Linked DNA regions of Mus musculus. The protein of the gene in region 1 interacts with the protein of each later gene in a biochemical or structural test. Links are inferred from orthologs where the notes say so. Each region holds a gene or a part of one and is shown in the gene's direction. Other genes may lie near its edges.

Region 1 (2,954 bases):
TTACTCGTGAAGACATTTTGGAATTAATGGATAGTGGTAAGATAGAACCAATTCAAAGCAGGTCCTTCGGAAGCTTCGGTGGGCGGTGGACAGCAGCCCGCAGCTGGTCAAAGAACAGAGATTAAGTGTCTGCGGAGCTTAGTCAGAATGGGGCACCTGGATCCCAACCCACACCCAAACCCAAGGCTCAGGCACCATCGCAGAAGACAGGCAGAAAGGGTGTAGGAGCAAGGCAGCATCGCTGCTAGCAGGATCCAGCAGTCCGCATCCTTACACAGAAGGGAGCCCAGGAAGCTATTGACAACTGATGGCTGCTGGAGGAAGGAGGGCCCACTGTATTTATGGGTGTGGTCCCCGATTGGTTGGCTGTGTTGCAGTGGATGGGCCCACTCTTGACTGTATATGGCCAGCACAAATTGGACCTTGTGTTATTTTTATTTATAAAGGGGAGAGGGGCATAAAGTTGGGTGGAATAGGGGATATATATTTGTGAATATGCTCAAAATTGCATATATGTAGTTCTCTAGAATGATCTTCATTGGGTAATTTTACTTCATGGTCTAACTATAGTGATAGAGAGAGTCGAGTATGAAAATTATAGAACTACACTGTACATTATTCTGATTGGTTTTTTTGTTTGTTTTTTGTTTTGCTTTGATTTTAAGATACAGTCTCACTATTTAGACAGGCTAGCCTCCAGCTTACAAAGATCTGCCTGCCTCTGCTCCCTGTGTGGTGGGACTAAAGGCATGCGCTACCACCCCCAGCTGCTTATATTTTTTAGTAAAAAGTAAAAAGAAAGAAAAGAAAATTACGCCATTCCCTAAAAATGGTTCCAAATGTGCTCTGCCTGTGTTAGACTTGGATGCTCTTGAAATTCAATTTTCAGCATCTTCATCTTGTCATGGTATAACAGTAACCCCAGAACTCAGGAAGCTAAGACCATGAAGTCAAAGCTGTCTTCGTCCAGTGAGAAAGCTAGATACAGATCAGATAAGCCTGGGCTCTTTACTGTATACAGTGCCAGGCTGCCATGTGCCTTCCCATCTCTGCTCTGTTTTATATTATTTCTGACTGTCTTTCCAGTTTCTAAGGAAGATCATAGCAAAAGGAGCAGCTTTGTGTGTGTGATTCTAAGCCATGGTGATGAAGGGGTCATTTATGGGACAAATGGGCCTGTTGAACTGAAAAAGTTGACTAGCTTCTTCAGAGGCGACTACTGCCGGAGTCTGACTGGAAAGCCGAAACTCTTCATCATTCAGGTAGGGCATTGCCCAGCAGCTCGGTGCTCAGTTTGGTTAACTTAGTTAAATGGGCTACAGAACTGCTATATTTTTATTTGTTTAAACATCCATTTAGGGAATCTAGAGTACATCACAGTGTTTGTCTTAGTCAGGGCTTCTATTCCTCCACAAACATCATGACCAAGAAGCAAGTCGGGGAAGAAAGGGTTTATTTGGCTTACACTTCCACATTGCTGTTCATCACCAAATGAGTCAGAACAGGAACTCACACAGGGCAGGAAGCAGGAGCTGATGCAGAGGCCATGGAGGGATGCTGCTTACTGGCTTGCTTCTCCTGGCTTGCTCAGCTTGCTTTCTTATAGAACCAGAACCCAGCACTACCAACCCAGGGATGCCACCACCCACAATGGGTCCTCCCGACTTGATCTCTAATTGAGAAAATGCCTTACAGCTGGATCTCATGGAGGCATTTCCTCAAGGGAGATTCCTTTCTCTGTGATAACTCCAGCTTGTATCAAGTTGACACACAAAACCGGCCAGTACAGTGTTGCTCTTTTTTTTTTTTTTTTTTTAACTTCCTAGTTCTCAGACCACACTTAGAGTTTTCAGATGTAAACTGTGTGTGTGTATTTTTATAAGAAGCGTATGTATGTCTTCCGACACCCAGGCCTGCCGGGGTACGGAGCTGGACTGTGGCATTGAGACAGACAGTGGGACTGATGAGGAGATGGCTTGCCAGAAGATACCGGTGGAGGCTGACTTCCTGTATGCTTACTCTACAGCACCTGGTGAGAAAATGTCAAAAGGATGTTTTGTGTGGATATTAGATGAGTTATATTGTGACACATTATGAAGCTGAGCAGTGAAGCCTATTCTAAAGGCTAGTAAGATGTTTATATACCCTTTACAAAAGTACCCTTACATCCCTAAAATAACTAACCCGCCATCTTAGTTACTTTCCTATTGCCGTGACAGAACGCCATGACCAAGGCAACTTACAAAAGAAAATGTTTAATATGGAGCCTGTGAGTACAGAGGATGAGAGTCTGTGGACCATTGTGGCAGGAAACGGGGGTGGAGGTGAGGGCGGCCATGCAGTAGACAGGTGTAGGCTTACATCTCCATCTACAAGCACAGCACAAGGTAGAGAGAACTAACTGGAAATGATGCTGGCTTTTGAGTCCTCAAAGTCCACCTGACACACCACTTTCACCAAGGCCATGATTCCCAATCCTTCCCAAAAAGTTCCACTTACTCGGGACCAAGTATTCAAACATGTGAGCCTATGGGGGTCATTGTCATATAAACAACCACACACACACACACACACACACACACACACACACGGTGTTCAGTTGTTTGTGGGTGTAAACCTGTATGTGGTTATGTGCATATCGTAGTCTGAGAAAACCTGGCTCTCACAGTTGTCTTTTGAGTTCCATGTGTACTGTCTGGCACATGCACAGCTACATGCACACAATAAGTAGATAGAGAGATAGATAGATAGATAGATAGATAGATAGATAGATAGATAGATAGATAGATCTATTAAACAAATAAAATATACTCATCTTGTTTATTTTATCCACTAGGTATCTTCTAAGCAGTGTACTTCTAAGCTAAACACAATGAATCCTGTAGTTAATCTGAAAATAAATACAAAAACCCTATGGGGGGGGGCCTTTTTGAATACTATTTGTTTTATTCATC
Region 2 (3,500 bases), on another chromosome or scaffold:
CAGCAGACACTATGGTCTTGGTGCTGTGAATTACTCTATCACTTCCTTTGTTTTGAACATACAACTTTTGCTAAGGCAGCCCCAAATTCTGGAGACTTCTCCCTCATCACATGCATCCAAGAAACATGGGAATTAGCCAGACCCGCTCAGTCTCCAAACTTTGTGCTCTCCATTTCTGAAGGGAAGAAGTTTGTCCTACTGCAGAGTCTCCTGGCTATAAGGAGGGGCAGGGTTGTTTTTTCCTGGCCCCTGATTAGTTGAGTGCTGCCTGTCCCACTCCACCTCCAGGTGATGCCTAAGTCTGGTGCTCTGAACTCCAACGATGCCTTTGTGCTGAAAACCCCCTCCGCTGCCTACCTGTGGGTGGGCGCAGGAGCCAGTGAGGCGGAGAAGACCGGCGCCCAGGAGCTTCTGAAGGTGCTTCGGTCCCAGCATGTGCAGGTGGAAGAAGGCAGTGAGCCAGGTGCGGGGACCCACCAATTCCCACTGCCTGGAGCTCCATCTCCACATCCTTCTCTGGTGCCTTCACCTCGAGTGTATTGATGGAATGAGGGTGATAGCCAGTGATAGATAATCTCTTGTCTCCTGAAGAAAGGGGGAACTTGGTGTGGATGGTTCGAGGGGGCCTCAGGGGCTGTTGACTATTTCCCAGGAAGTCTTGTAAGAGCGATGAGTGACAGAGTCAAAGAGGCCCCGGACCTTCAGATCTATAGAGAGGAAGACCCTGCTTCAGCCCTCAGCCCTCTTTTCTGCTGATACTCAGAACCCTCCCCCTTTCCTGGTATCTCACAGAAGCAGTGAAGGACAGCTTGGTCTGTGTATGCTCTGTCCACGCATGTGTGGGCATGCAGCCTCTCCATCCAGCAGACACATCTATGAGGATGAGTGTTCTGTACCTCCCAGCCCCAATTTGGTGGCTGATGGTCACTGTGGCTTTTGAGGACTTGAACTGTAGCTGGAGCCAATGAGTGGACACAAGGAAGTTGTATCTTTAACGGTGATACATTTCTGTAAAAATGCAGAACACACGTAGACAGCAGGTATTGTAGAAAGAGCATGGAAATCGGACTTAAAACAGATTTGCCTCCTGGTTTTTCCATTCCCAGGCTGTTTTAGGTAAATTGCTGTCCTGTCTCTGGGCATCTACTGACTCATGTGCTGAGAAGAGATAATTAGCCCCGTTCTGTAGTGCTCTCGTCTCTGCACTGTTTTCTGCCTGCTTACCCTCTCAGGCCTTTCTTTCCATTCTCTTCCATCTTGAGCCCCTTGGGATCTTAGAGTGGAGAACAGCCAGCTGGCTTTGGGCAGTTTGGTCTGGGGTCTGGTGAGATGTGCTCATGGGTCAAGGGTTTCCCTTGGCAACCAAGGTGATCTCCCCTCACAGATGCCTTCTGGGAGGCTCTGGGCGGGAAGACTGCCTACCGCACATCCCCCAGGCTTAAGGACAAGAAGATGGATGCCCATCCTCCTCGACTCTTTGCCTGCTCCAACAGGATCGGACGCTTTGTGGTGAGTCTGGAGGTGCCACCTCTGCTTGTGCCTAGGGAAGGAGGCAGGTCCAGGGCTCAGTGAACCTCAGAGCCTGGAGAAAGTCTGATGGCCCAGGGAAGGGTCTCTGCAGGCAGACCATCCCTCTCTAAACTCATTCTGGGAACCAATAGGGCTGATGTTTCTTCATTGACCCCCTTTGACCCTTCCCAGATCGAAGAGGTTCCTGGCGAGCTTATGCAGGAAGACCTGGCTACTGATGACGTCATGCTCCTGGACACCTGGGACCAGGTGAGTGAAGGAGAGAGGGAGAAGACCTGGGTAGAGGGAGAAGCTGGACTCTTAGTTCTAAGATGAGTCACCATGGGAAGGGCATAAAAGAGACAACACCAGGTGTTTCCTGGAATGGCTACAAGCCATACCCTCTCCCTGAGACGCCATTTCCACAGTTGTAACATGAAAGTGGTGGGACCTGCCTGGCAAGATACATGGTTGTTGAAATCTGCTCAGCACCCTAGAAAAGAAACCCAGGTCACATAGCTCTACTGCCCAGTGTGATTTGGAGACTTGAGAATGTCACTCCCCAGCTCTGATCCCTCTAGTGCCATCTGCTAGGGTAGCTGCTGTGGGGGCCCCAGAAGGGATGACAACATTCATTCATTCATCCAGTGTCAGTTGGGCATCTGCATAGTGCTCTGTACTGGGGACGCTGGGAGTGAAGGACTGCATCAAGTTGACCTCTGCCCGGTCTGGATCTATTCCCGTGGGAGTGTCAACTCAGTAACTCTTCTATCAAGTGCCTGTTCCCAGTATCCTCCAGGCTGTAGAATGTCTGAATACAAAGTCCCATGTCTTTCTCCCGTGGGGCAGCTTTGGGAAAGCTCAGTGGGAAGTTGTGTTTGCAGTTTGAACAATATGGCTGTCATCATTGACTAAGCGGTTAGAGACATTACCTGTTTATGCATCTCCTTGGTAGTCCTCGGCCAGTGTTTCTTAGCTTCACTATCTTCCAGGCAAAATGCTAAGTGCTTGGGTTCCTGAGACAAGTCAAAGGGACACCAGACCAGTCCTGACTCGAGCCTGGCATTTTCTCATTTAAGGCGTTTGATAAAATTAATTGCCATTGATATATGGCAGTTGCTCTTGAATGCAATTCTCTTGGAAGAAGCAAATAAATAAATAAATAAATACATAGATGGCAGAGCGGGGAGATAGCCCAGTGGATAAAGTGCTTGCTACACACGTGTGAGGATCAGAGTTCAGGTCTTCAGAACCCAAGGAAAAGCCGAGAGTGATGGGTGTGTCTGTGATACCATGCTCCTGAGCAAGAGGGGAATGAGGATATCAGAGGCAGGACACTCCCCAGGAGCTCACGGGCCAGCTTGTCTGGCTGCCTCACTATGAACAAGAAGATCCCACATCGAACAAAGTGTGAGGCGAGGACCCACACCCAAGGTTGTCTTCTGACCTCCATGTGTGCACTGTGGCACAAATACACACATGTACATACACAAAAAGATATAAACAATAGATGGTGTGTAGAAATCAGCAAGGGTTTTTTATGTGTGTGTCTTAAGGCTCACAGTGACCTGGGCTTTTCATCGCAAGCTTTAGACACATGTCAGTCAAGATGCCAGGATGGGCAGCCTTCCCGAGTGCATTTGTTGGATGAGTGATGAAGAACCTCTGTCCACTCATCTGTTGAGTGAATCTACACTTTAAAGGTGTGACTCGTGAGCTCTCAGAGAGGGCGTTCCAATGCTGCCGCTGTATTGCAGTGATTGCCGGTGTGCAGGCTGGGATGAGGAAACAGGAGGAAAGGTATAGCCTGAGGTAAACTGGACCTTCCCTTTCAGCTTCATCCCAGTGAAGGTGATAGCTCAGCTTCTAGATTCTCTCGTGTTTCTGGAGAGGCTGGAAAGCCAGACTCTTAGACTATCATTGATAACCAAATTTGCAGACGGTGCTATTACAGGCCAACAGCTTAATGACAAACACATTTGTAGGTCGAT
Region 3 (3,500 bases), on another chromosome or scaffold:
CCACAATGGGCTGGGCCCTTTCCTATCAATCACTAAGAAATGTACTATAGTATAGGCCTTCTTACAGTCTGATCTTATAGAAGCATTTTCTCCTTTGAGGCTCCTGTCTCTAGGATTGTGTAGAATTGACATGAACTAGCCAGCCACCTTTCTACATCTGTGTTACCCAAAGCTTACTGTATGTAACTGGCTTTCTAATCTCTTTCTCTGTCTCACTTTTTTTTTTTTTTTTAGTTGTCTTGGAGGAAGCGATAATTTTAAGCATTTAAATGAAATTGATCTTTTTCATTGTATCGATCCAAATGTAAGTACCATTGATGCTTTTTTTCTGATTTAAATGATGAGAAGCTGGGCGTGCTGCTGTTATCTTAGGGTTTGTTGCTGTGAGGAAACCATGACATGGCAGTTTTTATAAAGGGAAACGGGCTGGTTTCCAGCTCAAGGATTCAGTCCATTGTTGTCACAGAGGGAAGCATGATGGCATGTAGGCAGATAATTGTGCCAGAGAAGTAACTAAGGGTTCTACACCTGGAGAGGCAGGAAGAGACATCAAAGCCCACCTGAAGAGGCACACTCCCCCCAATAGTGCCACCCTTCTCAACAATGCCAGTCCCTATGAGCCTGTGAGGCCACTTTCATTTAAACTACCACAATAATAAACATTAAATCTTAAATCTGCTTAGCCTAACAGTTTAGACACTCAGCAACCTCTCTTCCTACATATTTTTTATTCTGTCACTGGCAAAATGACAGTACCTTTGAAATCTTTCTATCTTCTATCAGAAATTTTGAGTAGCCAAAAAGCTTGTTTGGAAAGAAATTTTAAAAAATGAATCAGGCTTGTGGCTATAAGCTGAAAGTTTAGGAAGTAGTAGCAACTCAGAAAAGCTTTGCCTATGTAGGAAAACCACCTCAGAGGAAAGAGACAAAACTTTGTGTAGAGGATCCCTCAAACACTCAGGGGGCTAATTGTGGAGGATCTTGGGTTCAAGACTGGGCTGCACAGTAACAACCAAATTATGAAGGTCCAGCTCTGTTACAGAGAACTTTCCTAGCATGTTTCAAGGTCCTAAATATTATCCCTTAGCAGTATGGTGGGAGGGCTGTTTTTATCATAGCAGAGAGATGAGTGATATGATGCTTTTGTTGTAGGATTCCAAGCATAAAAGAACAGACAGATCGATTTTATGTTGTTTGCGAAAAGGAGAATCCGGCCAGTCATGGCCTAGGTTAACAAAGGAAAGGGCAAAGGTAGGTTGGGTTTTTTGTTTTGTTTTGGTTTCTGTTTGATTGTTTTAATGTTTTAAGAATTAAAAATAGGTGTCTTTTACTCCTGCTTCTTTCGCTTGCCTCTTGCCCCTTTGCTCTCCCTTTCTCCCCATTCCGTCTTGCCCCCTCCCCTCTCCAAGTGGTCATGGTTGGCCTCTACTTCTCCACTTTCTCCTCTGCTTTTCTCTGCTTCTGCTATTCTCTTAACTCCCCTCCCTATGTCCTGAATAAGCTCTATTCTGTACTTTAAAAAAATAAAATAAAAATAGGGCAAAGAGCTGGCTAAGAGGTTAAGAGCACTCACTGTCTGCTCTTTGGAAGGTCCTGTGTTCAATTCTCAGCAACCACATGGTGGCTCACAACCATCTATAATGAGATCTAGTGCCCTCTTCTGGCCTGTAGGCAGAATCTTTTTAAGCCTAAAAATACTTTTTTTTTTTTGGCTTTTCTAGACAGGGTTTCACTGTATAGCCCTGGCTGTCCTGGAACTCACTTTGTAAACTCAGAAATCCACCTGCCTCTGCCTCCTGAGTGCTGGGATTAAAGGCGTGTGCCACCACTCCCGGCAATACATTTTTATAATTGTAAAAAAGCTGGTGTTCTATACTTGGCATTCTCATCAAATGTCATAAAATCAGACCGTAGTTGATTAGGATCTTTTGCATTGGAGAGACAAACTTTTGCATCAGGTGTGGTGGCACACTTGAGGCTAAGGCAGAAAGGTTGTGACATCAAGACTAGCTTGCCTGGGTTTCTTAGTTACTATTGATGTGACGAAACACCATTTGAAACAATTTGGGGAGGAAAGAGTTTATTTATATTGCTTATACTTCATATTCTTAGTCCATCATAGCAGAGCAAGAACTTGGAGGCAGGAGCTGCTAGTCCATGGAGGGTGCTGCTTGCTTCTCATGGCTTGTCCAGCCTCTGTTTCTTATAGAACCCAGGACTGCCAGCACAGGGATGACCCCCACCCCAAGTGAGCTCGGCCCTTCAATCACTAATTAAGTAAATGCCTTACATCTGGATCTTACGATGGCATTTTTCTCAGTTGGGTTCCCTCCTCTCAGAGGACTGTAACCAGTGTTGAGGTGACAAATTAGCCAGCATACTGATAAGTTACTTGGTTACTGTAGGGGAGCAAAGTTTAGTGACATTCAAGATTCAAGGAACTGAGGATAGGCTGGCAGGGTGAAGGTGATTAACTGCCAAACCTGAAGGCCTGAGTTCTGATCACAAGATGGTACAAGGGGAGAGTATGTTAGAAACAGGATATTTCTTTGAATTTGAGGCCAGCCAAGTACCTTCATAGTGAGGTACTGCGTAGACTGTAAACAGTGGCACTGGGGTATCTCAGTTGACAGAATACCTAATATGCACAAAGCTGTAGGTTGGAAACAACCTAACAGCATGACCTATAATCCATCTCTAAAGACGGATTAATAGTTGAATGTTAGCCTTTGTAAATTGGATTAATTCCAGGTATCATGCAATACTTCCCAATAAATGTTTTTGTATGAAAGGTTAAATTGGACAGTCAAAAATGATTCCTGGAGCCAGTCTGTGGTGGCGCAGGCCTTTAATCCCAGCACTAGGGAGGCAGAGGCAGGCAGATTTCTGAGTTCCAGGCCAGCCTGGTCTACAAAGTGAGTTCCAGGACAGCCAGGGCTACACAGAGAAACCCTGTCTCGGGGGGAAGAAAAATGATTCCTTGACTTATTACCCCTCTTGGTTTCTTGTGGATTTTTCTTTTTGAGCTGATTTTATGTCTCATTACTGGTTATGAATAACATGGAGGTGATATTGTTGATCTCTAGCTTAATTGGCTCAGTGTGGACTTCAATAATTGGAAAGACTGGGAGGATGACTCAGATGAAGACATGTCGAATTTTGACCGTTTCTCTGAGGTAAGTTTTTTTAATTGCATTTTCTACCCTGTTCCCATAATATATTCTATATAATCCTTTTAATCCCTTTTTTCTTTTTCCATTTTAATGTGTATGGATAGTTTTTGCCTGCATATATGTGTCTGTGCACCACTTGGGACATGGTTCCAAGGCAGAGTCTGAAGGTGGTGTCAGGGTCCCTGGTAATGGAGTTACAGAGGGTTCCGAGCCACTATGTGGTTGTTAGAAATCAAACCCCAGCCTTCTGAAAGAGTAACAGGTGCTCTCAACCACTCCTTGGTCACCCTTTTTGGTTTTCTGGACAGAAACCCATGTAGTCAGGAC

The links.
Region 2: of the proteins of Casp3 (region 1) and Gsn, one has a biochemical effect on the other in vitro, tested with the Homo sapiens proteins (2 studies listed by BioGRID). The link is inferred for Mus musculus from reciprocal best matches to the Homo sapiens genes CASP3 and GSN.
Region 3: of the proteins of Casp3 (region 1) and Ptges3, one has a biochemical effect on the other in vitro, tested with the Homo sapiens proteins (2 studies listed by BioGRID and IntAct). The link is inferred for Mus musculus from reciprocal best matches to the Homo sapiens genes CASP3 and PTGES3.

Annotation. Positions count from the first base shown.
Region 1 is NC_000074.6:46,634,291-46,637,244, forward strand, and holds part of Casp3 (caspase-3), read left to right. Parts: coding exon 1-36; intron 37-1,086; coding exon 1,087-1,262; intron 1,263-1,911; coding exon 1,912-2,032; intron 2,033-2,954. UniProt on the Homo sapiens protein: Thiol protease that acts as a major effector caspase involved in the execution phase of apoptosis. Following cleavage and activation by initiator caspases (CASP8, CASP9 and/or CASP10), mediates execution of apoptosis by catalyzing cleavage of many proteins.
Region 2 is NC_000068.7:35,302,880-35,306,379, forward strand, and holds part of Gsn (gelsolin isoform 1 precursor), read left to right. Parts: intron 1-288; coding exon 289-463; intron 464-1,384; coding exon 1,385-1,509; intron 1,510-1,701; coding exon 1,702-1,779; intron 1,780-3,500. UniProt on the Homo sapiens protein: Calcium-regulated, actin-modulating protein that binds to the plus (or barbed) ends of actin monomers or filaments, preventing monomer exchange (end-blocking or capping).
Region 3 is NC_000076.6:128,068,982-128,072,481, forward strand, and holds part of Ptges3 (prostaglandin E synthase 3), read left to right. Parts: intron 1-234; coding exon 235-304; intron 305-1,152; coding exon 1,153-1,251; intron 1,252-3,086; coding exon 3,087-3,176; intron 3,177-3,500. UniProt on the Homo sapiens protein: Cytosolic prostaglandin synthase that catalyzes the oxidoreduction of prostaglandin endoperoxide H2 (PGH2) to prostaglandin E2 (PGE2).